Lepisosteus oculatus: one gene and its partners. The protein of the gene in region 1 purifies or fractionates together with the protein of each later gene. This does not show direct contact. Links are inferred from orthologs where the notes say so. Each region holds a gene or a part of one and is shown in the gene's direction. Other genes may lie near its edges. The genes, in order: cAMP-dependent protein kinase catalytic subunit alpha, akap1b, akap11 and pde4dip.

Region 1 (7,279 bases):
TGGCAGCTACCGACAATGACCGGGTACCAATCACATTGCAACACAAATACATTTTCCTTAGCTGAAATCTCCTGTACTAGCTGTACTGTGTGTCTGCAACATCTCATTTTGCTGTACATTTTAAAATATGGGCTGTAATTTTGACTGTAATTGCCGTTCTTGATTATATGTGATTGTTGTTCTGTTAAATAAATCTTAACTAAGTTTTTTGTTAGCACAGAGATTAGAATGGATTTGCACTGTGACCTAATTATTGTTGACTACAGTGAGCGATTTCTTCCATTACATTGTTGTCAATTTAATTAAATGGAATGTAATTGTGTGACAAATTGTTGGTGATGGAAAGCTTGGCAATGAATAATTCAGAGCTGAATTGTCGCTGCTAATGAAAAGGGACTGGTAAATTCATGGGATGACAATCCAGAGCTCTGCTTTCACTCACAACAGCAAGCAGATATACAGGTACAGACCAATGATTGCTGACACTATCGCATCAGTGAAACTAGCATGGTCCTTTGTTCTAAGATTACGAAAAGCAGTTAAGCATTTAGGATTTCATATAGAAAGATGGAATTATCAGTCAAATTTAATAACTTTATGATCAGGTGCACCTACAGTAGGCCTTGCATTTAAAATAAATCCCCCAAACAATTTTCTAAATCCTGTGAAATTTCACTCAAACTCTGAACTTCTTGAGTGCAAGGGCAGGCTGAAACATTGCATCATTTCACTACAATAACCGTACTCAGGAGCTCTCAGTTTGAAAAAAAGTTGTTACATCTTGCTGTTACCAAAATTCTGGACCATCTATAATCCATATTATGATTGAGCTGCCCAGATTCCAAGAAATAGAACAAGAGCTATCTGAGAAGAGTTGTTCTTGGATAGCTTATCTTGGAAATCACCTGAAGAAAAACATTGCAGTGTTCGGCTGCTGATGTAAGCTACATTTTGAATAGGCGGCTGACTGTAGTCATGGCTTCAGGTGCATTTTTAGATCTATTGAAAATATTATGCATCTCTCCTGTGTGGGTCTTCTTGGTTTTGTCTTTACTGAAACATTAATCACGGACACCAAGCCCCAGGTTTGGAAGGTTATGAATGGGAGTTTTCAGTTTTTTACTTAGGAACTCCAGAGTCAGCACATTGTGGAAAATCAAAATCTTTTTCTCATTTAATGTAAAAAATTCAAATATGGAGACGATGGACTACAAATGCACTTAACAGTCTTTTCTGAACCATTAGATAAAATCGGTCTTGTAGAGTTTAAGGAATAGGGAGGTCAAAATCTATATGCATAACAGCTGAATGTCGATCCCTTCGGTAACAGGTGTATGGTGTGCTGAGGTTTTTATTCTGTCTCGGCATATATAGTGGCACTGATTAGAGACCCAAACCCTACAAAGAATCACTTATGAAACCTTCTCTTTTTGTTGGAGATTAAAAAGCAAACAGTTAAGAAATCATGCATACATTTGTGCACCTTTCCCAATTTCCTACATCCCACAAATGTAAGAAGAAACCTTTTCATTTGAGTTGCAGAATTTTTAGGTTCAACACACCCTTTGATTTCAGTTCTAGACGTTCGGTATGTCCATGTCAATATTTAATCTCTTAAAAAAGGTATGTTTTAATAAAGATCCAATTTTAGAAGTGGACTCATCAATTAATTTTCTTTTAATGAAGTCAGAATAACCCTTTTCCATTTCATTTGCAGATTGTTTTTAATTAAGCAGTGGTGCACAGCTTTGCATTCTTTTCAGATGTTTATGTACAGATGTGTAATATCTCTGCAACACAGCAAGTTTGGAAAGGTGGCTGTGAAAGAACCCCTACGGCCGTGAACCAATACAGGGATAATTTCTGCTTGTTAAGTAATACTAGAACATGGTACCATCAAGGAAGAGAAGCAGTTTTTATTTATGTCGCAAAAAGTATAAAATACAACTATTGTCTGCTATCTCCTGTATTTTTCATCACTGTCTGAACAGCGTCAGTAACACATTTTTTAATTGGATGGAGGGCACTGGCAAATGACAGGAGTGATTATTGTGTGATAGGCTGAATGTGAACTCATCCAGCCATGGGGACGCCTGGCCTGCTGTGTGCCTGGGCTGTGAGCAATCCTAGTCCTAGCCAATGATGTGTCCCAGCCCCAGATTCTGAGCAGATATCTGTACTAGTTTAACCACTGGAGGGAGCTCTGCTTTTCATGATTTCAGATGATTGAGTGAGCTATAAAAGAAAGCAAAACAGTCTGTATACAAAATTCAAACATTAAGGGCCACGTGAGCACAACATTTGTAAATATTATCCTTAATCTCTTCATTTCCTTATTAGTATTAACATCCTGCACTTAATAAGATTCTGTTTTATCACATTCTGGTGCTCAGATTTTACTTTTAACTTTCATACAGCAAGACCTTCATGAGTGCTGAGGATACATTCCACAGACAGGAGTGCTGTGGAATTCAGCACTAAGAGAAGGAATTACAGCTCGAGTTCAATGCGTATGCGTTCTCATGAACCCTGTTTCTAACCCCCAGTGGAGCCCTCATATGACAGTAATATCTATTGGTAATGGTAGTACTGCCATCTGTACCACAGAATATAATTAACAGAATATAATTGTATACGGAAAGGAGTTTTATTTTTAAATCACTTTATAGGTGCAGAGACAAATTTGTCTGTGCCTCAGTACATTCAAGTTGGAACTTACTTAGACCATCCACTGTCTGTCTTCACCCCTCCAGCTTGGCTGCAGTGGGAGACTTATAGGAGGAGCCACATTTGCCACGATGTGCCAGGCTGTGGCACATGAGAAAATTACTGTAATAAAATAACCGAGATCGAAAAAGTGCGAGAGCATTGTAAATGGTCCTTGCTGTTCTGCACGGTACTATGGACTGAGTGTTGAGAGCTGTTTTTCATTGCTTCTTGCCTTCAGAACCAAAAGCAGGAGACACGTCTCCAGCCTGAACTGAGTGTGCTTTAGGTGCTTCTGTCTGACCGGTACGCATGTCACATATGACCTGCCAATAAGCAGACTGTTCTATTGAGAATAATTCAAATAATGGCCAGGACAAAGAGCACTATGACCAATCAGCACTAAAAGAAACAACACTAAGCAAGGTATTACACCTAAAGGAGGTTCCATGGCTGAAATGTTGCATCTCTTGTCTTTACCTTTCAGTATGAAATTAACCTTTACCTAGTACGAAGCAAGGTATTAAGAGTGTGCTGATGATCAGGAATATTGTCTGTGAGCATATACATAGACCTGCCCAATACTCATATCAGCTTAGGGCAGGAAAAACCAGTTCCCTAACCTTTGCCTTCACCACAGTTTGTAGCTAATTTGCCTGTTTGGAGGGAGGATTTCCAAACTATTGTGTTTGTGCCAAGGAAAGAGAAGGCAGAAGAGTAATACCGCATTCTGACTCCCAGCAGGCTCAGGGAGAAGAGTGTTTCGGATGAAAGAGGAGAGGCATTCTGAGTTTTCAGTATGGAATGAGAATGTAACTAAAGCAGAGATAGGGCTAGTGAAGAGCTTTGTCATCTGCAGAATGAAAGGAGACGAGGCTTCGTTCTCAAACAGGTTTTGCTTCCTTGCCGACGCTACCTGGAGCTTTCCGTGGGAGCTTGCAGACAATATGGAATATATCCTTTTCAAAATCTCTCTTTTTTTTTACTGCCAAAGAGCCCCGAGAGAAGAGGTGCAGACTGTGTAAGAGTGAGCACAACTGGGCATTTTTAATGAAAATGCACTGGAACAGTTTCAGCAGGAGGAAGGTTGTGCTAAGACACGTGCTAGTTCATGGACTACATATTCAGGTTTCTCAGCTGCATAAAGATGTCTGAAGAGTGTTGCTGCACACAAACTATCAAAGACAATAGTCGGGTAGCCGGACAGGTGAATTGAATGAAATTTGTCTCCTAGGGGAGTGTTTTTAACCGAAAAAGTGCATATATAGTTGACTGACCTGCATACCCAGCATCAGACGCTGTGGAGCATATTTCCTTGCCTTATGCTTAAAGTGAAACAGCAGTGCTATTTTGAGATGTGTTTTGCCAGAGAATTTCTGAGGAAGTGCAGCACAGCCTCCAGTTGAGAAAGGGAAGTGGAAACACTGGTAGTTTTAAAATCAAAAGCCTAACAGGTGTGGGGGCACCCAGCCGAGTTGGGTCCTGCTCCATTCCTTCACCCTTGCAGTAGGCTCAGCCGCTCCCTGGGGATCTGCACGGCAATAGAGGTACAGTTGAGTGTTCAGAAGCTACTGTGCACGGGGACGCAATGTCAGCTCTCCAGAGGCTAGCAGGGAGACTGTTCCAGCGCAGTCCCCGGCCGGCTGACGAGGAAGCAGGGGAGACCTGCTTCAGGTTTGAGGAAGAGGAGTACAGTTATAGAAGTGAGTCAAAGATGCAAAGGAGAGGGGGGTACTGTATTGTTAAATTAATTTAACTGCTGTGAAAGGACGGCGAATGTAACTTAATCCTGCAACATCAAACTTTAATGTTGCTGTGTACGAAGTGTATTGTTTTTTTTTCCTTGTCTCATTGCAAATCTCACTGCACTTTTCTTCATAGTATCACTTTCCCCTTGGGGTTTTTCTTTACTCTAGTATAACCCCAGTAATGGAGAGAATGAGGCTGGTTTTGTACTGGGTTTCTGGTGGGCTCTCTAAGAGTTAATTTCACAAGTGTGTGAAATTCTTGATTTCACAACGTCTGACACTTTTTCAATATGTATGAAAAAGTGGGCAATGAGTAACGGCCTGAGAACAGAAGTTTGTATCAATATTCTCAGGGTGTATTCACTGCCCACTTTTTCATACAGGCTCAATTTTATGTACTGGGCAATGTGCGATTATCTAAAATGAGAATTTTGCAGAATCAGAGGAACAGTTTCAGTTAACTTACAGAGCATAAACATTAGTTTCCCTTGCAGTGACCATTGTGCAACTTCCACTTTGTCATGCTGGCGGACAGTTGATTTTACAGAGTTTCTTCCGGTACAATGGCAAGCAAATAACTGGGGGCGTCTTGACCCTTTCAAACACTGTTCAAATTGCAGACTGACCTTGTTTGGCGTACTCTTTAAGATTATGAATCTCCCATGTTAATTTTCTTTTGAAAAGGAAACTGAAGTAGGCCTGCAAATATTCAATTGAAAGTAGCCAGCTTTCTGGCTTTCAGTGTCTTTGTTGACAAGCACAGAGAAAAGCATAGAAGTGATTGCACAGCATATGTAATTACATATTCTGCTTCTCTTTCATTGTTTAAATTCTATTTTATTTGTTTGTTGCCTGTTTCAGGGATGTTAAAGGTTAATATGGACTACGGAGTCTGTACTATAACTATTACATAAGGAATATAGTAATAATATTACATTGAATACGCTTTTATACTCGGGGTGCACCATAAACTGTTTATTGCAGAATACACCAGCACAGAAAGCTGAACAAAAGGTGCATTTGTTGTAATTTATTTTTAGATCATATGCTCCAAAATGTCTGAATCCTGTACATTTTCTGCCTTGCTTAGTTAAAAGTAAAGTTAGTGTTTTAAGCATTGAAGTTAACTGATGTTTTTTTTTTACACACTGAATACTTCTTGAGTGAGTTGTGGTAGACTTTTCATGCATGCATCCCTGATGCCTTTCACAAAGCAGGCAGGAGTGCGCCTTCTTTAAATAGAATGGAGAACAAAGATTTCCATACATTTTTTGTGGCAGGCATAAATTCACATAGACAAGGCAGTGCTTACCCAGCTGCTATTAATAGCTTATGCTGAATTACACTGTTTGTTAACAACCTTGTTTTTATACCTGTCTAACAAGGACAGGTTTGTATTTGTCGGAAAGGAATGTTTTACCTGTTCTTAAAGGGACTTGCTCCGTAATTCTAAAATGTGATCTGGGTACACACCTTTGTGTACACCTTTTGTAGTTATATTTGTATAAAACTGAAGTGACACGATTTAAGAGATGGCATGACTCATTGATGGTCCTGTAACTGTTGAGCAAGTGTGACCACACCACAGAACCCCTACATCTAAGTACAGGCTCATAACTCTCAGTACATAGCATAAATAGTTAAACATTGAAGAGGTTCAAGCAGGGAGCTGTGTCAGCATGCATTAGCTGCAAAGGAACAAACAAAGGTTCATTCCATACTAAAAAGTAGAAAAGAGAAATGCAATGTTTCGACTGAGTTTTCTTTAGATGTGAGCAGTGTAGAGCAATGATTGGGGTTCTGGACTAGTAACTGCAAGGCCATGGTTCACATCCCAGGAAAGACCCTTTCATTGTACCCTTGAGTAAGGTACTTCACCTGAATTGTTAGAGTACAATACCTAAATTAAATGTATACATGGGTGCAAATGTGAATGTAAATCTGAATGTTCTAGTAAAATGTTTATTATAAAATCCAAAAGGCCCACGTTAAATCTGAGATTGGTTTTATGGATATTGTTGAAGCTTACATGTGTGACAGTCACATGTGTGACATGTTAAATACTGTCTTCAAATTATCAAACAGTTTTATGGGGAAAATAGACCAGATTTTTAAAATAAATGTGAAAGTGCTGTTCTCAGAAGGGAAAAGATCAATTAAAATAGAGGTTTTTTTTCTGGGTCACAGCTGACGAAGAAGTTTAGTATAAAGCCTGAGTTAACTCCCACTTACTAGTAACTCGTGGTAATCCTGTGAATACCGGGAAGGAAACAATCGGTACTCCTTTGGCGAAGGGGTGGGAGGAGCGTGGTGTGAGAGGCGTGCGGTATGGTATTGCTGTGGACACCAGTCAGGTAGAGCATGGTGCGGCACTCCAATCCTGTGAAGGATGGGAGACCAGGGGCAAAGGATACAATACCAAGCGATGATAAGTAATTCACCTTTACAGGAATATCCTACATCTGTGTGGGCAATAAACTGAAGTTTGTGATATGTATCTGAACGACAGTGAAAAGTACTGAAAATATAACAGATGAACAGGTAAAGCAGAATATCAAAGGGTGTGAGACTCGGAGGATGAATTTAAGATGTTTTAGTTGGCTATTTTATTATATTATGCTGTTGATAGTGTGTGATGTCAGGGGAGGGGGGGACGGAACCACAGTCTGCACTGAAATGACCAAAATAAGCATTTCCATTCAAAAGCTATAAATTCAATTAATTTTTACCAGATATTTGTGGTCAGTTTTGTAAGCTCAGATACTGTTCATCCCTATCCTGCAAATACAGTATAGGAGAGGAAAAGCACATGGTACAAAGGCCTG
Region 2 (7,447 bases), on another chromosome or scaffold:
GCCAATAAAGGGAAAAAATAGCTTTGAAAGTAACATAAAGGTACCAAACCCAATCTGACAAGGTGTTACAGACCTTAATGTTGTATTGTTAAAGGAACCAAAGTACAGGAACTGCAATATAGTGACAGAATAAGCTCCTATATCACTGACTTTAAGAGAGAAAGTTCATTTGAGAGTGAGGGACGGAGGCAGCCTGAGTTTCGTATTATATATATTTACAGATAGTGAATGCTTTTTGATTATCTTGATATTATAGTTAACAAAATACCGACCAAAATAATTAATGCAGTCGCTAGTGGAGGGAGTATGTATATTAAAATAGGTCTGGACAGTGTAAAGGTGATTTAACAAATGTAGCCAAGGTACTTTAAAAGTTTGTTTGCTCCTTGTAGGCCTTTCCAAGGTGTTCCCAAGCTAGAAATCCGTTCGTTCCTGTGTCATACGGCTGAGAAGAAAAGGACCATCTTTGGTTCTGTAATTTGGTTGTGGGAGCCGCCTTCTCCTGAGAACCCACCCCTTATTTGCCGTTTGTCTGCCGATGCCACTTCGACCGGGTGTTTCCGAGAGCGTCGCCCCAAGTCTCTCTAGGTTTTGGACCGCCAGTAACCGAGATGCTGTACAGGAGAGGCCTGAGACGAAACTGATTCAGCTGAGGGGAGGATTCTGGGTGCATCTCTGCTTTATTTGTGTTTCGTGCCAGGGTGCAGAATGCAGTTTTCCCTCCCCAGGCAACTTGCTCTCTCTTGTCACAAGTGTCACCTGGCGCAGCGCGATGCAGACGTTGCGCAGAAAGAAATCTCGCACCTTAGCAGAAGGTGGGAGAAGCTCTGTCTGCACAACTGTATGGGAAGGGAAAAACGACTAGTTGGATCAACTCGCTTATAAGCCTTTAGTCTCCAATGCGGGGTTATTTCAGTTTTCAATAGATGATACCGAATTAGTAAAAATTGTTTATTGAATAGGAACAAACTTAAAAATATTTTCACTCATTTTGGAATTCCCATTTTCTCACCCTTTAATGAGAAATATTTTGCGAATTCCTCCTCAAAAGAATGCTCTGCACCTGTGTGACAATGGTACGCAACTGTAGGGGGAATAGCGATGGACTGGGAACTGGATACTGAAAAGGTTAGCAAGCACAGACGTGACGTTTGTTAGCTGGGAACTCCAGAATATGGCAGACTGAGTGGCGGCTGTTGGTTTGCATTGCAGAGATAAAGGTCCTGCCTCTGACTGGACAGCGAAACAAAGCTCATCCGGAACCGAGACCTTTTAAAAAATACAACCACCATTTTCTGAGGGCACCTAATGATTTTCAAAAAGATTTTAAAAGCTGAGAGTGCACATAGAGCAGATGACCTGGTTTGTGTGAAGGCTGTTTTGTAGTGTGTAGAATTGCACTATTCCTAACTGCAGTCAGACATGTCGTTTGCAAGGAGTAATGACCTAAAATTAGGCACCTCTTCCACGAGGTTATGCAAAACACATTTTCGCCACAAGGAGTCACTGTTGAGCGTTAGCCACACTATTTTTTTTAATGCAGTACGTTTCACCTCTGTAAATATTTTGTGTAAAATTTGACAAAGGTATATTTACTACACTGTAAATACATGTGACGATATATTGTATTATTTTGCTTTTTTGTAAAGCAGTTAGTTGCTGTACATGTATAACATACAAATTTAATTATTCTAGTGTTAGTAATGATACTCTCCACTTTCATTGCATTATGCCATTAAAATAAACATACTGAGAAAAAAATAGAGATGACTACAAATTGCTGTGTATTATAAACTCGCACTGTGTAAGGTAAACTTTACTGTTCCCTTTGGACTTCGCCATGAGCAATGTTACCTTAATGAATAGCCTCATTCCTTTTACTTCTGTGTGGCAAAGACATGCCAGAGGAACTCATCAGACGCTACAGAAACTGCTGTCAGATTTGGATATGTTACTCGTAGCTACCATTGTAGAAATCATTGTTCAAAGTTTTTGCTCGTCCCACCTCTCTCCCTTTCCATTTCCATCCCTGTATGTATGACTTTTTTTGGAAGTAAAAATGTAAATTCAACCTGTTAACATCTGTTGTGCTGGTGTCCTTCTGTTCGGGTGACCCAGGCAGAGAGCCGACAAGTCCTCCGAGATAGCTGAAGAAGAAAAAACGCACGTTTTAAATTATAATTAAGTGAACTTTTTTTTTAAAGCAGTCCAGGCAGATTTTTCTGTATGGATGAGCTGATGGGATTATTTTTGTCCCAGCTTTATTTTTGTGTCCGGCTTGTGCTCTGAATGCTTTTTCCCTGCCAGGTAACTTGCTTTCTCTTGCTCTGAACTTCTTACAAGTGCATTACCCACTGAAGCTAGAGCCTAAATACAAGACACCTCAGGACAGGTGGAAAACCCAGTCTGTGAGGCCTTTTGTGCAAATGGCTAGTTAATGGTTAAACTAGCTGACTAGTTGGGTGTAGCTGATGCCTTTAACTGTAGTACCATGCAGGCACAAAGACTGGAATTGTGCAGTGCCTGTTTTGGTGGAAAGGGAATCATGTTTAAGAAGAAGACATCCTGCTGTTAGAAGTTTATGGATCCAAGAAACTATTTTAGATTACAAATATTTTTGTCATTAGCACCTCTTATATCTACCTGTGAGTTTTATATTTTAAGCTCAGGGACCATGAGGAAAAAACGTTAAGTAAAGAAAGTTAAGGCAGATAGTGGCTGCTACTGTCAGCTTTCCTGTCCTGTGGACTTGAGCTCCTTGATCGATCTCTTCTTGTGCTTTTACTAACTGCAGAGGCACTTGAGGGAAGTACGCTTAATTGCTTAGTCAAACCAGAGATTAGCACCATTCACAATGCAAAACCCTTTCTCTTGCGAAGGCATCCTGACGCACACTGCACAGTTCATCAGACGCAGTCAGCATCACGCTCTTGCATGATGAAAGCATGCCCGCAAAAATTAAATGATCGTTACTGACTTTACATAATCTCACGTTTTGGGATTTCTGCTCCGAACATGAAAAGGAGGTCCATAGACTTTAGGGGGACTTTTCTTGCTTCACAGGCAAATCAAAATAAACTTAAAAAATACAATAACTAATAACATGAGAGTTAACAGATTGTTTAGCCTTTCATCTTGTAGATTCTTCCTCATCCCAGGAAATAAGATTAACTTTGTCCCCCATGGGGAATTTTTTGTATGGATGCATACTAGTTCTGTACATCTGAATACATTACAAAACATTGCATATCACTTGTATTGTACATGCATAACTCATTTTTTAAAAAATAGGGAGCCCTAGATTATACAAATCCAGAGTGTAGTTTGCCCCAGACACTGGAGTTAACAACCTGCCTCTTGCCCTGAGATTTTTAATACAGCAGGATCTGTTTAACTCATCTGAAGGACAGCGCCTCCTATGGTGCAGTGTCGCCCATTGGCTGCCACCTACTGGTCTATCACTACATCACTACAGCAGGTTCTTTTTTGAGATACATTTTCCCGTACTGACCAGTCCCAGCTCGGATGCGATCTGGACAAGACGAGATGGAAACGCTTTTAATTAATTAATTAATTAATTAATTGCTTACACTTATATCGCGCTTTTCTGAACACTCCACTCAAAGCGCTTTACAGGTAATGGGGATCCCCTCCACCACCACCAACGTGCAGCCCCCATCTTGTTTTTTCCACCGTCTCAGTAGAAGACACCGTTTTTAAAAGGGGGTGGCTGCTTTTGTTTCTTAGTATGATAGTGTATAGACTGTATATTGTACTGCCCCGCCAGGCGGGCTGAGAACAGCGCCTGGGGGCGGGACTACAGGACGGTATATAGTAGGGCGGAGGCTGCGAGACAGCCCCTTCCTTTCGTGTGTGTGTTAGAGAAGGTGCAGCGCTGTAACCTCTGTCCTTGTGTGTGTACCTTTTCCGGTTCAAGTTCAAGTTAATAAATGTGTTCAGTCCTATTCCCCGAGTCCCATGCCTGCTCCGTTCCGTACCGAAACCCGAATTCGTTACAATATTCTAGCTCCCAGGAGGTTTATAACAATGAATGAGCCCAGCCCCACGTTAAATCAAGTAACAGCAGCGATTCTTATTTTCACACCAAAAGCCAGGCAATATGAGCTGCCCGTGCCGTCAGATTCTCTCAGGCCACCATCCGTGAACACTACGAGCTTTTCTCGTCGGCCCGTGACGCGTCCCCTCCTCCCAGCCTCGCGATAGGGGCAGAGGTCGCCCGCCGCGGAAACCCACGCCATGGCGGCTCCTGGCCGCCCGGCGCCGTCCCGCCGGCGAAGCGCCGGGCGCCTGAGCCAACATGGAGGCCGGAGGGGCGCCAGTTTCCTTCCTGCTCTAAACCCCGCCTCTCGGGATTCGACGCCTGGCTCGGAACCTCCGCGAGACCCGCCTGGCTGCCCGGGCCTGTCGCGAGATGTGATCAGCTGTTGTGTCTGTTTTTAGAGTCCAGTGTCCGGACTGCCAGCACGTGGGGAGGAGAGACAGACAGAGAGGGGAGCACGCTGGGGGATTAAGAGAAGGGCACGAATCTGTTTAGATAGTCGCATACAATTCACGGTGGCGCTTTACAAAAAAGAAAAACAGTAAGTATACGTGCGCTTCGTATCCCACACCATGTGCGGCGGCGGCGAGGCGAACGGGGCTGTCGGCTCAGCAGGCGTGTTAATAGTAGCGTTAGATTTCCTGACGTAGCAGCGACCTATCAAACCTCAGGGAGCACCGGAGCCGTAAGTTAACTTTTCAGGCGAGCCTTCCCGACTCGAGTCTCCGAACTGGGTTTTTTTAACCCCCCACCACCACCACCACCACTCACCTCCGTGCATTCCCAGTAGGTCTTTGCTGTAGTTTGGAAGAACAGAAAACGGGATTATTCATTATTTTTTGTCCTTTCTCCACACACACCCCCCCTCCTCTCGGTTGGGCACAAAGACACCGAAGGAGGCTGCCTTGTTCTGGCCCGGAGCACCGGAGTATCGCACCGGCTGGATTGAGGGGGTCGCCCGCCCGCGGAGGCGGCGTGTGTGATTTCGAAAGTGTAGCCGTTTTGAATCTTTCGCTTCTCCCTCCCACCATCACCACCTCCCTGGCCCCCCGTATAGCGGCGCGGCACCGCCTGCGACCCGAGTCGAGGAGCGGGGTGGTGTGGTGCGCGCCGCCGGACCGGAGAGGTACAAAGACGGCGAAGCGGGGAGGTTTGAAGGGCCGGAGCGGTGATCCTCATGGGCTCGTTAAAACCCGCTAGCGCCCGACGCCGTGCTGAAGGCCGCCGGTAGCCGAGTTCCCGGTGAATTTGACGGAGGAGAGCGATTCCGTTTCGGCGGGTCTGGAGGTGACTCATTCTCCTCATTCGCCCAGTGACCAGGAGCGCTGCGGCCTACCTCGCCTTCGCAATATACCGCATACATATACTACAGCGGCATCGCTCGTTTTGCATTGTTTCCTTGGTTTTTGTCGTCTGCGGTGCCGCATGACTGGGGTGGAATGAGATTGTTGCCTTTCTCTCTCTTTTTTTTTTAAAATTCGGTTTCCCCACTGGCGAAATGTAGCGGGGATGGCGGTGCACCTTCGCTCGTCTTGTAGCAGCTTGCAGTCCCTGCTTTCTGCAACGTGCCTGACGATGCTTGTGTGTGAGGTTGTCTGTTAAGTTTCTGCTGCAGAAACGGGGCTTTTCGGAAGGACGCCGGCGTGTTGTGTGTGTGTGTTGGGTGGGGGGGGGTTTCCGATTAGACCTTGCGATACACTTAAAATCGCCCACTTGCTCGGTTTGTCGACACGCCGGGCACACACACGGCCAGCCCGGTGTCCCTTGCGCCCGCTTGCCAAGGTCGCGGCGCGGCCGCAGTTATTTTATCTCCTGGTTCAAGGTGAGCTTTGGAGGGGAGGCGGTAACGCTTCATTAAGGACGGGAGGTTAGGCCTCGCGTGCCGGTCAGAGCAGCCGGGGAGATCCTCTCCACGCGTGGGGAAACAGGTGTAGGTCACGGAAGCAGACGGCGTGCGCGTCGCTCTCCCTCTTCTTCCTCCGCCGTCACCGGAATGTCGCTTTAAAAATGTCGCCGTGTGCGCTTGGGTGTGTGTAGTCGTGGGCTACCTGCCTGCCTGCGGCTACAAGCCGCCTCCCCACGGCGGGCGAGACAGAATCCCCCTGGGGCGAGTGCACGGCAGCTCTTCGGGAGGTTAGGCGCCCGTAGTCGTTGTGGAATCGTATCGTTGTTGTGGCGGGATGAGTGCATGTTTTCTTCTCCAATTCGCGAGCAGCTGTGAAGTTTTCAACTGACATACTTGTTAGTGAACTCCTCCTGTTGGAGTTTTAGTGGTGCTTCATCACTCATTTTCTGTGGTGCGGTTTGCGGTTGCTTTTTCCTCAGGTTTAGATGAGGTGTGTTCACTTAGTTAATGGTGAAGCCTGGTTTTTCATGTTCAAAGCATTTTTTTTATACAACTGCAAAAATAAATGTGTCTGTAGGTGAAGCTCAGAATGCCTTAACCGAGTTCCTCGTTGTGAATGGGATGGCTGCTCCTCGAGCTGGCCCTGGTGATGTTAAGCATCCACTTGTGTGTGGTGGATGATTTCAGCATGAGGAATGAAGGGCCCTCTACTTCCCCGGATAGCCATGAATCAAACCACAGTCAGTCCGCTACTCTTCTGCCATCAGACAAGGTGGCTGGAAGGTGGAGGAAATGTTGTGTGCCACATTGAGCTGAATGCATTGTGGAAGGTTTCCTGCTATGGGATTGAGCACTGCATGTTTCATCATTGTCATGGCTGTGGAGAGGGGAGTGGGTGACGTTATTGGCTTGTTTGCGGTTCTTGCCGCCACGTACTGCTTGGTGCTGCTTACCTGCTCAGTCTCCTGTCCCGCAGAGGTTGATCAAGCTAAAGGTCTTTTTGGCAATGCGCACAAGGCAGGCAGGAAGGCGGTGTGATCCCAACTGGAGCGGAGTGAAATACTGTAAAGGGGACCCGGATTGATCTGAGCCAAGGGCATTTAGACCTGCCGTTCTTCCAGCACCTCACACTGCAGGACTTTCCAACAACCTGGTCTTTAATTATTTAATTGGCCCGTGCAGCATGCAATTAAATAATTATGCAATTGACTGATGTTACAACATGCTAGAATGGAGAAGATGGGGAAGGAGCGCTTTGTGTATTTCTGATCTCTTAACTGCCAGGGTAGACTTGACGGTTACCTCTTGTTTTCCTGAATGACTTCTCACTGTGGAAGCCTGGACTTGGTTAGGATTCACAGTCCACCCCTGCAGAAACGGGGATGATGTTGGCAGCCTCTTTCAAGTCAGTCAGAAACGTAGGGTTACCTTGCGGTTTACTTCTGTTTTTAAAAAAGGAGGATTCAGTCTGCTCTGCGATTTTAGCTTTTTAGTATAATTTTGTTTCCGGTCTTGGTTCTGGTAACCCGAATGCGGAATTG
Region 3 (6,847 bases), on another chromosome or scaffold:
ACACGTTTTAGAGTTTCTGAAAGACATTTGTTTTAATTTATATTACAGGTGGTAAAAATAACATTAAATTCCACCTACTGTCTGAACATTTGGTCTTAATTTAATTAAAATAAAAGGATATTAGAGCCAGAGGCTATAATAATGAAATATATAAATTCCCCAAAAGTGATTTATGCAAATTTATATAATACTTAAGTATTAATGTAATTTCAATCTTATTTTTCAGCTAGTTCCATCCTTCTATAGGAAACATTAAGTATTTTTAAAACACATAATTTCAATTAATCCCAGTGCCTTTTCCCAAACAGAAATTGAGCTTGGTTTAAAATCAGTATATGGACACATGTGTATAGAAAGGAAGATATAATAGTAAGATTGTAAAATCCTATCGTAAAAATAGTAAAATCCTCGAAATTTGGAATTGTAAGCATTATAAGGCTGCAGAAAAACAGAAGAGTATTTCTTATTTAGTACAGTTATACACTGACAATGTGAGCTGTAAACCCATCATAGCAAATTAATGTGCCTTAATATATTGCAGTATTAAAAAGGGCAATAAAATATTTCAAAAGAAGGGATCAGGTGGTTATGAGAGTAAAACACTCAGTGTTTTTGAATAGTTACTATAGGCTCCTGCAGAATGTTTATGAGCTGAAGAAAGCAGATCACAAGATCGAGTTGTGTAATCTGTAAGAATATCCCTCATAAGAGGCTTGAGAACCTATCCACTGATTGCAAGGTATGAATAAATGTGAGCATCATGAACTTAGAAATATATGCTATTTTGACAGATATCCCATTTCATAATCATAATAATAATTCCTTCCACTTCTGTAACACTCTTCTGGACACACCACTAAAAGCGCTTTACAGGTAATGGGGACTCCCCTCCACCACCACCAGTGTGCAGCCCCACCTGGATGATGCGATGGCAGGCAGTGCACCAGTACGCTCCCCACACACCAGCTATCAGTGGGGAGAAACCGGAGAAAACCCATGCAAACTCCATACAGATAACATCCCGCATCCAGAACTGAACCAAGGGGCCCTGCGCAGCAAGGCATCAATGTTAACCACAGCACCATCGTGTCGTCCAACATACAACTAAAATAATAACAAATTATTGGCAGAGAGCAGAAACTTTGTTCACCCTGAAACTTCTTATCTCATGCTTTTGGATTTGTACAGTAAATAAAATATGCTGACTGAATCATTTTCCAAAAGATATGTACTGTAATGAAGACGGAAATATTCACCAAAATACAGTACATTAAACTACACTGAAAATTGAATGCACAATATCCTGTAGTTCAAAGTCACAGTGTTATACAAAAGGGAAAGCAACATATTACAATATAACACAGCAATCGCCTTCAAGGTGTGGTATTTACAACAACTGTGTCATCCATTTCCCAGTGTGCCCAGTGAACCCATGTGATGAAAATCTCAGGCAGCCAGGAAGGGTTGCAGGTTGCGTGTTAGGACTGTTCTTCTCAGCTGTAGTCTGTGCTCGTGCAGTTTTTCATCTCACAAAGGGAGGCTCCAATACGTGTGATCTCCCCTCTCGTGTTCCCGCTGGGGCAAAAGGCTATGGGTTCAAGTCGCCAATTCATACATCACTGCGGTGTCCCTCACAGAGACATTTACTCGGATTACTCTATAGTCACGCCAAGTGAGAGCAAATACTGCACATGGGTTAACAATGAAACAAGTTGTGTTCATTGTGTTACGATTTCTCATTCCAGCTCCTCTTACCACAAAACTAAATGAAAAATCTTACTACAGTCCCGTCTCCTGTAGCACTGCTGATTCAACGAAGACCAAATTCAACGAAGACCAAATGAATATTCATACACAATTCTTATCTATCTCTTAGGCCGTGCAAGATGTTGGAGCAAAATTTGACAGCCTTAAGAGTTTCAGGGGTATACCAGTTATACCCATAATTCACTGTGGCTTTTAACGCCCACACTAACCTCTGCTGGTGTCCCAATCTAGAGAGATAGGGTAGGTTAAGCCACATTGTATATACAGTATAAATGATTGATAGAGAAAGGTAGTTCTATGTCATATTGAAGGCTTAAATGATTAAAAAATAATTTCAGACAAAGGCCTTCTGCAGCTGGTTAAACAGCAGCGAAAGGACTTTTGTCAGACACCAATGTTTCCTTAATCATTCCAACCTTGTGTAGATCGGAAGAACTTTCTTTTCTTTATCAGCCTCTGATAATATACAGTCCCATAAAGAAAATTTAACGTTGAGCTAGAAGTTTACAACACATGTAATTCAGCCAAGCTTTTATGCGTGACTTAGTGCCTTTGTTCTCTCTCATTACCCCTCAGCAGGACTGGAATTATAGACTGCACTTTCAAAGGACCACTTTATTAATCCATTATCCTCTGAGACTACTGGACTGACAGCACAGCCATTCAGTCTGGAGCGAAACACTGCTGTGACATAGTTGTAAATTTAATATAAATCCTATGTTGTAACTGTCTGTCAGGATGGCACAGAGGAATTTAATATGACAGATTGGTGGCTTCTGCTGATACCCAAATTCATAGCTAGGCCGTTTTCAAAGTGTTTTGCTCTAGAGCTAAACTTATCCTCCATATTCTAAAACTAATCTTAAAGATATCTGAGGTGCAAATTTGATTATTTAGATGTTCAAAAAAATATCTATATAATAAGTGAAATATGCACTTGTTTTACATCAACACATTTATTTCAATTATTATTGTCTCCTTGTGCGTGCGATGAACAGGATGTAGTCCCGCCTTGTACCTCTTCTGCTACCAGGGTAGACTCCACATTGCCACAACTTAAGAGAACGCCAGGAAGGGTCTTTCCAATATTGGCTTGATGCAGGTAAGAACATACAGTCAGAAAAATTACAAATGAGAGGAAGGCATTTGGCCTTTAGTACTTATAGGATCCCATTATATCATCCAGGTGTGTCTTGAAGGAAGCTATGGTATCAGTTTCAACAACATGACTTGTTCCACACTCCCACAATCCTTTGTGTACAGAAGCACCTCTTCTTTACCTTCTGTGTCCCCACAGAACACATCCTCTGCTTGCATCCAACGTCCAGTGGGAATCCAGAAGCTTTGTATCGGGTGCCATCATACAGTAGTCTTCTCTGTTCAAGACTACACATACTAATTTCTAGTCTCGCCATTCCAGACTGTAATCAAATTATTTGCATATGAATTAATGATATATTATATACTGAGGCATAAAAATGCATATAATTCTTATTGAAACTTAGAAATTCCAGAATTTTAATGACTCTCATGGTATGTAGTTATTTGTTACACTTATGCTTTTGATATATTCAGTATTCTTTGATGTGATACAGTAAATTCCGTAACATTTAAAAAAACATAATTTACACCTGCATTTCCTTTATTAAACTTTTAGTTACAGTTTATCCTGATATGAATACATTTTAATGCTACTGTGCATCAATCACTTCACATGGTGGTCACCAAAAATGTTATTTTTTTAATGCTATAGTAACATTCAGAAATATTTATTAATATATAACAACAGAGGTTGTGTTAGGGTTAGAGTAATGATGAATAGTTAATATGCATTTGAAAAATGACCATTAAATTATTATGAATGTTAATAAGTCGCATGTAGCCTTAGGGATATTTTATTCCTATAAAATCTTACCTTTTTTTTACTTTAAAGGGATCAAACTACCACCTTTGAAATGCAATTCAAATTAAATGTACATTTGAAGTAATCATTAAAAGTAGTAAAACATTTACACGAAGTAATCATTTTCATAAAAATCTTTGGGGTACGTCATCGGTTTGACAACAGCTACCTTGTCCGGCACAAAACTTAAACAGACTCTACGTCCGTATCCAGGCTCACAGAAGCTACAATATACTGTACGTATACACTATGTTAACAACGCAATAATTTATTTTTTCCATGTGGTTGTAATTTGAACATCAACCAAACGTCTGCTTTAGCTTTTTAAAATCTTAAAATTGTGCCCGGCAAATTGTAAAAAATAAGCCGGAATGTTGTAGTTCCGAGGTGTTAATTTTACACTGGTGGAAAATTATATAAATTTGCAACCTTTTCGCATTCCCATCATCGTTTCGGTGTTCCTTAGTAACCCTGGCAGCTTTCTCCCACGAATATATCATCATTCGGACTGGATTGCTTCGGCCTGGTTTCTCTTGTTTTTGTGAAATGAACTGACAGCAGCCGCGGGTCCGACGGCGAAACGGTGAGAATCATTTTTGAGATGAAAGTGATTACACATGACACACCTTTTCTTGACAGGATCGCACATCTGTTGTGGTAAACGAACATGTGTTCTGGTCATGCATGGGTAAATGACGGATGATACAAACGGGTCTGGTTAATGTTGTTTTTTTTCAGGCCGCGGCCCTGAAAACAATTCTTGGAAAATAAAAGCTTTAATGGCAGTCTTTCCGTTCCCCTGCGCGGGGTTGGAAGGGAAAGGGGGTAGTGGGTTTGTATTGAGTCGCTATTCTGTGTCTGGACGCTGATGGTTAAAAACTCGACATGTTGCATTCGCTATAGTGTCCTCAAAGACTGGAAATCCAAATAGCATCGATACAGTACAGCAGCAGGGAAGATGCGACACTAATTCATCCACAGTAGGAATGCGAGTGGGTTGATCGCTTTTCCCAGGGAGTGTAAACCATCTTCCCCCCAGACTGGAACTTTTGCCATAATTAGGGAGCACCAGTACCCTATGTGCCTGGTTTGTTTTTAGATTGCGTTTATGCCGTCGCTAGTATGTTATCGGGTGTTTCGGCAGTTTTCCGTCTTCGGTTTGTGACGCCCAGCGGTTTTACAGCATGCCGAAGTGCGGCATTAGCGCTGGCTGCTCAGATTAATTCCCCTTCACAAAGCGTTTCCCCTGCAACGGTCAATACACTATTCACATGAGGTGAAGGTGATAAGAAATCTACTTTTTTTGTGCTGTGTAATTAAGTGTAGTTATTAGGCTCCATACATTTTTTTTTATTTTCATATAAACTGTGAGCACTGGGATATTAGAATTCATGCTGTAAATAGGATGTGCATTCGAAAAGGTGTCATTAATCAAGGAGTGTGGAGGGTCTTGTGCTATAGAGTAGCGTGGAGCATCGACCCAAGTGTCTCTTTTGAGTGTTAAAAGTCAAATACATCTCCTCAAATGACACCATTTTCATTGCTTATTCTGATTGGACTGTGACTGGATGTCCGAGGTTGTTTGAATTGGCATACAGTACGAAACTTAGTGCGATTAGGAAATACAACCCGAGGACTGTTGTCTGTCCTCTTTCACATATTACTTTCTAAGTCAGATGGACACTTCCAGCCTGATCATGTCCAGTTGCTGCTGTGCAGAAAGATGTGCATGTCTCATGTTGTTGGAGAGTTTACTGTTATTGCCGTTTCTAAAGTTGCAGTATGTTTGCTACAAATTCTAAATCCTAAGTACAGTATTTCTTAGTACAGATCCTGGTTTCCGTTCAGTATCCACCCCCGTACTCGCGCCCACACTGACATAAAAACTGTACACGCACGCTTGAAAGCCTGACCTATATTAGTGTTCCTATGTTTGTAAATGTTTGCTCATACAGATGGTTGAACAGACATTCTCTTGAGCTTTTTGAAATAGACACATGTGAGCTCTACCATGCAATGTTAGTCTCACGCATACAGTTAGTGACCCCTGTTCTCTGCTTTCGGAGAGAACTTTGCTACTCGCAAACACACATACACAAACTAACAGGGTTAACAGAACATAGGAACGGCCATCTTATACAGTTTTTTGTCTCATCAAAACTTAATTAAAGCCTAAATAACTGTCGGCTTAGAAGAATACATTTGCGTAGTATTTTAAGCGCCAGTGAGGGTCACAGAGGTGTTGGCTACTTTCTTCATTTCCAGGAGCGGCTGGCTAAGGTTTCAGCTGATTTAGGCCAATTCTCATAAATACAGGGCATCAAATAAACAGTCGCTTACTTCTGTTGACTCATCGTTTGAAAGAGAATCGTTTTGGTTACGTGCCATGGCTTTGGAAGAGATGCGCACGAAGCTTTCTGGCGGGGGTTTTTTTCTCACATCTGCAGCTTCCTTTGTTTGCAATGGGAAAGAATTCCAGGCAGCGCTGTGGTGCTGGTTGGATGTCTACTGTGTCACAGGACGGTTTCTTCACTCTGGGAATGACGTCCAATCTGTTTGAGGCTGCACATTTTTCCTTGCGCGCTCACGGGCGATGGATGTGAACGCTGACCAAAGATAGATTCAGCGACTGGACTATTCACACAATGATTAATAGCACCTAGTTTTACAATGGGACAGTTCTGGTGTGTTGTTTAAATCAGTTCTCTTGCTAACCACTATGAAAAGGTGAATCATGCTAAGCATTGCCATACAAAGCATTCAGTACGTCATTCAGTGTGCTGTTACTCTTTTGCTGTCATTCGTAATCAAAAACAGGGAAAATACTGGGGTAGGTCCTTTCTGTATTGGGAACCAAAAACCACTGTTTGGTAAGGTTTGCTTTTTTACTCAAAGACTGCTGGCTGGGGTTTGTTCCTGGAAAAAGATTTGGCTCATCTCTCCTACTGTAGAATCGTAGACACAAAAAGATTTAACTCTTTGATTGTAATGTCCCCTCACAGTACTCAGTATTGTCTGGGAAGCTATTATTATTATGAATGTTTTGTCATTTAAATTCATGTCACTAACAAAACATATGGCATCCTGGTGGGTCTGGCTGATACTGTTTTTCATTTAAAATCTTCTAATGGCAGTTTTCCTTTATATAATGTTTCTGAAATTTGTAATACTCCTACT
Region 4 (7,517 bases), on another chromosome or scaffold:
GGAAGGAAGTGAAATCATCGTGTTCATTCGACAGTTGTTTTTACAGTTACATGGAGTTGAGATTCTAGAAGTTACCAAATCTCAGGAAGTGGAACAGGTCCACAGAACCTTGTCCTAGAACCAAAAACAAGCAAAGAACCCGCAGTGTGGTACACTGCACTGCTTAACTACACAGACAGCCAGAGCTTTTCTTTAGAAATCTTAAGATCTTAGCATTGCTTTCGCTATAGCATCAGCATTTACCCAAACTTGGACATAAACTGAAGGGAAGAATGTTAATATTATATCTATTGGCTAATAGAGCTACTTACCGAAAATATCTTTTTAAATAAGAAAACTAGGAATTTGAATAATCATATCAGACCCTACTCCTAAAGATTAAATGTATTCCAATAATTGAGGCACATCATGCACCCTTTTAGTATATTTGCCTTGAAATAAACTGTAGTGTTTTCTACTAGCAGTTCTGTTAGAATATACTGTAAAGTACTTCTCTGAGACACACCCAGTTTCCTGACACCCCTCAGGCTATTACATGTAAATCTGTTTCAAGAGAAATACAGATGTCCTAATCAGGAAGCATAGTTCTCATAATTAGCCAGCTCTTTTACAGTAAATGTTTCAAATACCAAGTAAGCAACTACAACTGCAAAAGCAATAGGAGGTAGAGAGACAATGATTAAAGTATAATTTGAGCCATTTCTTGGAAAGGGAATATTTTTGACTTGTAAAACAAAAATCCATCAATTTGTTATCACAAAACGGCACTGAAATAAAAACAAGACTCTTCGAAACTATTATATTTATTTCTTGTTTGGAATGCATTCGCCGTTATCCATCAGTGTAGGTTTTTGCACTTTCTAAATCCTCTGATGTCTCAATCCAAGTCCTTAGTTTTAATGATATCTCTCCCAGCCCTTTTCCCTGTCACTGATGATGATGATTAGTGTTTGGGTTCCTTATCGTTTTCTAATGATGTGTATAAATGCATTTTAAATGCTTTTTTTGTGAATGCATTTTATTTATAACCTAAAATGGGTCCAATTATACAAAGACTCCCTGTAGACACAGATGACAAGCTAACGATATGCCCACACCCTCTCAGATATGCTTCCCAGCTGTAATTGAAAGTGTCTCTTTGCTGATTTAGACTGTCATTGCCGAAAAGTGTCTGCAAAAAAGGAGAAAATAATCTCACAAGGTCAGAGGGTGTGACATTAGACAGAGGAAATTCAACAATATTTATTGTGATGAAAACCTTGGAACTTGATTAAATAGGAATTTAGTGATACCAGTTTGACTTTATAGGTATTTTAAAAAAATACATTAATTCTTATTTGGGAACTGACGCGTAAATTTGACCTAACTGGCTTAAACTTGGAAATTGAGAAGGTAAGATACTAAAGAAGATTAGTCAGTTTAATATCACATTCAGTTAGCCATTTTGTCTCCAGGCTTCTTACAGTGTTACATTGTGTCGTTGCTGTCACTTTTGAAGGAACACGATCAAGTGCCTTAATTGCACTGTAAGGTTTAGTAACTCCCACTGATTAGAATAAATAGATTTTTAATTGCAGTTCTCGTTATTGTTGAAGGCTGTTGAAAGCTCATACGTCTCTCTTGTGGCTGTTCCAGTTTAAGAGTAAACATGCAGAGATGTTATAATTTATTCTAAACTGTGTAAGAACAGTGACGTCCCAACAAGCTGTATTAATGTAAATAATCACTTTTTCATTATGAAAAATGGAATTTATTGTAATGAGAGATTAATATTTACATCCAGGTTTAAGATTAACTGGTGAAAAAATGAAACCTGTTTTATTTATGAACAGACATACATTACGTATAGCGGGTGGTACATGTGTTTATATATGCACATCAGGGTCATTTTTCTGCAGTCAAATCCTTTGGGGGGGTAATTCTGTCCTAATTATTTCATTTTTATTGGTTTTTTAAAAATGGAAATCTCTCTTTGTCTTCATCACCTTTCATAGTCATGGCATTTTAAAGATATTTGTCATTTACTTAGTCATTATATGTCATTTTTACCAACGTTGTTGGGGGGGTAGTTATTTTAGTCTGCGTTGCACTGTAATTCAAAGTTTAGATACAGTGGAACTTCATTCCAGGTTTTCCTCTCAATAGTGATGTTGGACAAAGAGGAATGGCTAATGTGGTGGTGGTGGTGGAGGGGAGTCCCCATTACCTGTAAAGCGCTTTGAGGGGAGTGTCCAGAAAAGCACTATATAAGTGTAAGCAATTATAATTATTATTATTATTATTATTATTAATGCCGAGATTCTGGCTATTGTTATTCATTTACAGCCATCAGCCACCCCCCCGCTGAGACACAAGTGTCCAGACTGTCCCTGCTGTGGGTCCCATGCGTCTGTGTGTGTGCCAAGTCAGCCCATTGTTTAGGAGTTTGCTCACAGCTCTGCACACAACATGTGGCCTTTCACAGCCAGGCTGTCACTTCTCTCACTGTTGGGAGGGAGGAAGCCTATGGACACAGCTGACTAGGCCCGGCAAGAGGGAAAGGTTGTTTAAATCGATTCCCTCCCTGTGTTCTTGCCCTGCTGGCTATCTGTGCACTATAGGTGAATGATTTCCCCTGTCTTTCAAAAACACAAGACATAGTTGAGCTATTGGGGGAAAAGCCCTAATAGCACTACAGATGCTCTTGGATGGTGGAAACGAAAACAAAAATGGAATGGCTAACCTTTGTAACAAGAATGTAACCACTGTAGACTTTGTGACCACTGTTAAGTATTAATGCACCTCAAGGGCTCACGCAGACTGACAAAGATACTGGTCATCAAAGCTGTGTTTCCTCTTTTAAAGCAGTAGTTTACCAGAGCTGTGAAAGTATTTGTCCCCCTCCTCCCCAAGCAACAGAGCAACAACTGAAAGCACATTTGCGTGTGGTGTTGTTCCGGCAAAGTACGAATCTTTTCCAAGGAAAAACAAAAGAGTGCAAAAGTCATACCGCACAAAATTGTCGGTCACAGTGGGCAGTGCTTTGCAGGTGAGATCTGCAGGGCATAGTGCAGTTCATCTTGTCCCTCTGGCTATAATTATTCTTACTGGCAAGCTCAGAAGGCATGCCTATATTACTGCTAGGGTATGATTCTTAAAGGACAATGCAGACTTTAAAGAATTTTAGAGAAAGAAAGGTACTTTAGAGAAAGGTACTTTGGTGACGCGGTCCGCTTTAAAAGCCTACTAAAACAATAGAAATGCATCAAAGTATGACGCACATCTTTTCAAAGTCCTTCAAAGTTTTCCAGTGTTCGTATACAAGATGAAGTCATTTGAATACAATTGGTAGAGCTTTATACTCTTTCATTCTCTCAGTTAGATTTGAGTCATATTTGAAGCTGATATTTCAAGTCATCGTGTATGTGATTTGTAGGCTTGGTTTTCTCAACACCACACTCCCAGATGAACAGAGTACTCTGACTGACGTTGGAGACCTGCATTTTGTGTTCGTTTAGGGTCTGACCTGCTATTTTTAATAAATGTAAGAACGTTTTATTTTTACTAGCAAAAGGCCTTCTGCAAGAGACACATGGGTGGAGTACAGTGATTCATAGTGACGTCCAGTAATTCTCTCTTAAATAACAATAACTAGTAACTAGTTTTCCTAGTTTTTCAGTTAATTATTAATTTACTTGCGCATAAAGTATATGGGTATTTTCAGGTGGGTAGCTGCGTCAGCATGCGTAGGCTGCAAAGGAACAAGTAATAGGTTTATTCCATGCTGAAAAAAAGACGAAAGAGAACACAGCTATTCTGTGAGAAATTGCAATCGGCCTTTGCTTGAAGGAGGCTATATTGTACAAGCCCAGAGTGGAGTTCAGACAGGACTCCTGGCTTAACACCCCCCTGCTGATACACTGGATGATTTTGAAACCCACATCCACTTGTATATAAAATGTCTCGGTACACTGGCGTAATTTTAATTTTTCTTCTCAAGATTCTTAACTGAAACGACGTTTATTCAACAGTATTTACTCGGGGGTATTCTACTAAAAGAAGTCATTAACGCTTTCCACGTTTTAAGGACAAATTTCCGAAGGGCTGCATAAAGCATGTTTTGAGCGAACAGAGGGAGCCAGTTTAACGCGACCTTCACCTTTAAACCGGAGAATTCAGCGTTTCACCTCTGCCGGCGTGAACGCCAGATCACTGCTCGCACAGGGCTCCATGCAAATTACTTGCACTCGGGCTGAACCAACGTTTCGCAGGAGGGGCAGTGTTGTAGAATGGGGAGCAGATTTCATTTTATACACTTATTAACAAATCGAGTGAAAAAAAATATTTTGTGATATTATGTCTTTAGAGGGTCTCTTGAGTCTTTTTCAAACACGTTCATTCCTGTGGTTCTGGGGAATGATTGCTAGAACAGATACCCCTATTTTTCTTTTCAAATGGTGAGTCCCGCCATAGCAGCGCTAGCTGGTTACAGTCTTGCCACATCATTGCGAGCTTTTCAATGGACCTATTTCGGGCTGCAGCCTCGTTATCCGGGCGAAGTGCGTGTAAATAATGAAGCGCAAATACAACGGGACGTCCGTAATTTGTAGATAAGGCTCGGATTCCTCAAATCACTTTCACCTTCGTCCGGGGACCGTGGATCTCGGGAGTGTTACTGAAGTCGGATTACACGGCAGCGGCGGTGATGATACTGCGAGCCCTTTGATTAGGCTGAGCTTCATCGGGCAGATGCGCAGGCATCGCGTGTTCGGGAAATCCGTTCCTAAGATGTGACAAATAATGGTTTTGTTTTCCCGGAAAACGCTGTCTTAAACGCGCAATTGGATGTTCCTTTAATCCTTCACGCTATTGCATCAGGATTTCCATTACAAAATTAAAAATGGACTGGCAGCGTAACAACAGAAGGGGGTCTGTTTTGAATTTCACCTTTTAGTTATTTGTCTCTTCCAATATTAAGATTAAAAACACGAAGCGGCTTTCCTATGTAATAGTGTTATTTTAGTGCAAGCAACGCGATTTTGAGCCTTTTCTGTCTTGGTACCCAAGGTAGCTTTAAAGTATTTTGTGCGTATTTGCGTGGAGATGCTCTGCCGGGATGTTGGCCTCGATTCCAGCGGTACACTGATGATATTGAGCCTTTGCAGGAAGGGGTCTTTGATTACTGATTGCGGTTATCAGTATGAAAAGCAGCTGTTGATCTCATTTAATTCAGCCTGTTTAAAATCTCGCTTCAAGTCGTAAATGGCCATTTATCTCTGTTTTCCATCGAACAATTACAATTCGCAGCTTCACTGGGAGGAATCTTTTGCACATGAACGACTAAACACTGAATTGCTCAAATAAGTTTGATAAGCTTGAGTATTTTCAGGCTAAAAGTCCACTTAATTTATATTGTCAGGAAAATAACTTTTAAAATTGGACTGTATATTACACTGTTTAATTGCACATTGCTGGCTCTGAAACCAAACTTTCACAAATCAGATTTGTGCTGCTCAAGAGACCTACTTTGGCTGAGACCTCCCTGCCGCTAGGGGGCGCCCATGCTGGATTCCAGGATGAAGGACGCTTGCCGGATCTGCGCCCGGGAGCTCTGCGGCAACCAGCGCCGCTGGATCTTCCACACGGCCTCCAAGCTCAACCTGCAGGTGCTGCTGTCCCACGTGCTGGGCCGGGAGCTGACCCGGGACGGCAAGCGCGAGTTCGCCTGCAGCAAGTGCGCCTTCATGCTGGACCGCGTGTACCGCTTCGACACGGTGATCGCGCGGATCGAGGCGCTGTCCATCGAGCGGCTGCAGCGGCTGCTGCAGGAGAAGGAGCGGCTTAGGCAGTGCATCGGGAGCCTGTACCGCAGGACCAACGGCGACGAGGCGGGCCCGGAGGGCAAGGCCGGAGACGGCACGGTGGACATCTCCGGCTTGCCTGACCTCCGGTACAGCGCTCTGCTCCAGGAGGACTTCGCCTATTCGGGCTATGAATCCTGGGCCGAGCTCGAGGAGCAAACGGCGGACCCTCACCACCACTGCCACGCCTCCGAGATCTCCGTCCACCGCTCGAGGAGGTGCCGCGGTTGCGCGGCTCTGCGCGTCGCCGACTCGGACTACGAAGCCGTCTGCAAGGTGCCCAGGAAGCTGGCCCGGAGCATCTCCTGCGGGCCTTCCACGCGGTACTCGGCCAGCGTCGTGAGCAGCGTGTGCGGAGAGGAGCCGGCGGCCGTCGCCACCGTGCCCGAGTCGGTGGGCGAGACGAGCGGGGAAGACGCGGACGTTTCGGAGAGAATGAGTCCCGGCTCGTCGGTGGAGTCCCTGGACACGGCTGTTGAGATGGGGCAGCCCGCCGCCAAGGACGAAGAGGCAGAGAGAGAGATGAGAGAGGACCAGAAGTTTGATTCCTGGCCGGAAGAGGCCCCGCAGCAGCTAAATATGGCCGCGCAGGCCAACAGGCTGGACTTGGCTCTCAGCCTGGTGAAAAACGTTGAGTACAGGCCCATCCAGAGCCCACGGGGAAGCAAACTGCCAGTCCTGGTTAAATCTGTTCCCCCAGGACCTAACAGCAAAATGGCCTTTGCCGACTTGACACTCAGGACACCTTACGGCACTGGCTCCGAATTTCCCGCCAAATTTCAAGAGATGGTGCCTCCCAGAATTCAGCAGGACATGCACTTGGAGCTGTCCGAACTAGAGGAGCTCTGGCAGGATGTCTATGAGGAGTACATGCCCTTTAGCTTTCAGGTAGACGTCCCAGTACTGCCATTCAGTGACATCTTCACATCCTTCACTCTGCTGTCAGTGTGCTAAAAAATAGTGCAGCTGGATAAAGAATTTTCACTGTGACTTTCCTTGGAGTATTATGTCTGATCAGGCAACGTGAAGTGGGGTTTGTGATTTTTCTAAGGTTTTTTTTAGCCCATGTCAAAGCATCTTGTTGGGCGACGCATTCCAGATGGTTTATGAATTCTAATGTAGGTGAGATAGCTGTAGAAGGGGAAGGAGTGATCTTTAAACAAGAAATGATACCAGGACAATAGTAAAACCCTGACAATCATTTAGACATTAACCTCCCTTAGTATTATCTGTCGGCATTAGTATAAAATTGAATCTTATGACCACATTTATGTATAAAATTTGGTTACATAACATTATTTGAAGCGGTGCTTCTGGAGGGAGTTCTTTGATCTCTCTAAATGCAGACAGTGTCTTCCCTCTGCTTCTGCACTGCTGAAGCTCAGACATGTAGCGAATGTCAATGCAGTACTTTTATGAATATGCATCATATTTCGTGAGTATTTGAATGGCCAGCAAATCGTTGTGTGATCTGTCCTGGGTAATCTTATGTACTTTCAGAAATTTTAGACCACAGTGCTCTTGATAATCTGCTCCTTGATTGCCTTCTCTGGACATGTGCCAGCCTCTTGTGATCATTCTGGTAATTTCAGCATTGGCATGACAACAGTTACCTCAGTGACGTGATGCAGCACAATAGTTACAGCCACATCCTCTCCTTCTAGAGCCAAGGACAGT

What was found.
Region 2: the proteins of cAMP-dependent protein kinase catalytic subunit alpha (region 1) and akap1b purify together in Homo sapiens (affinity purification with mass spectrometry; 8 studies listed by BioGRID and IntAct, with this or other methods). This does not show direct contact. The link is inferred for Lepisosteus oculatus from reciprocal best matches to the Homo sapiens genes PRKACA and AKAP1.
Region 3: the proteins of cAMP-dependent protein kinase catalytic subunit alpha (region 1) and akap11 purify together in Homo sapiens (affinity purification with mass spectrometry; 5 studies listed by BioGRID and IntAct, with this or other methods). This does not show direct contact. The link is inferred for Lepisosteus oculatus from reciprocal best matches to the Homo sapiens genes PRKACA and AKAP11.
Region 4: the proteins of cAMP-dependent protein kinase catalytic subunit alpha (region 1) and pde4dip purify together in Homo sapiens (affinity purification with mass spectrometry; 5 studies listed by BioGRID and IntAct, with this or other methods). This does not show direct contact. The link is inferred for Lepisosteus oculatus from reciprocal best matches to the Homo sapiens genes PRKACA and PDE4DIP.

The regions. Positions count from the first base shown.
Region 1 is NC_090706.1:21,935,202-21,942,480, reverse strand, and holds the start of cAMP-dependent protein kinase catalytic subunit alpha, read left to right. Parts: upstream 1-4,259; 5' UTR 4,260-4,294; coding exon 4,295-4,409; intron 4,410-7,279.
Region 2 is NC_090721.1:6,861,384-6,868,830, reverse strand, and holds the start of akap1b (A kinase (PRKA) anchor protein 1b), read left to right. Parts: upstream 1-4,439; 5' UTR 4,440-4,601; intron 4,602-4,660; exon of another isoform or gene 4,661-4,745; intron 4,746-4,777; exon of another isoform or gene 4,778-4,846; intron 4,847-4,967; exon of another isoform or gene 4,968-5,186; intron 5,187-5,216; exon of another isoform or gene 5,217-5,347; intron 5,348-7,447.
Region 3 is NC_090710.1:16,668,559-16,675,405, reverse strand, and holds the start of akap11 (A-kinase anchor protein 11), read left to right. Parts: upstream 1-3,841; 5' UTR 3,842-3,906; intron 3,907-4,175; exon of another isoform or gene 4,176-4,253; intron 4,254-6,847. UniProt on the Homo sapiens protein: Binds to type II regulatory subunits of protein kinase A and anchors/targets them.
Region 4 is NC_090704.1:7,911,388-7,918,904, reverse strand, and holds the start of pde4dip (myomegalin), read left to right. Parts: upstream 1-4,497; 5' UTR 4,498-5,540; coding exon 5,541-6,728; intron 6,729-7,517. UniProt on the Homo sapiens protein: Functions as an anchor sequestering components of the cAMP-dependent pathway to Golgi and/or centrosomes.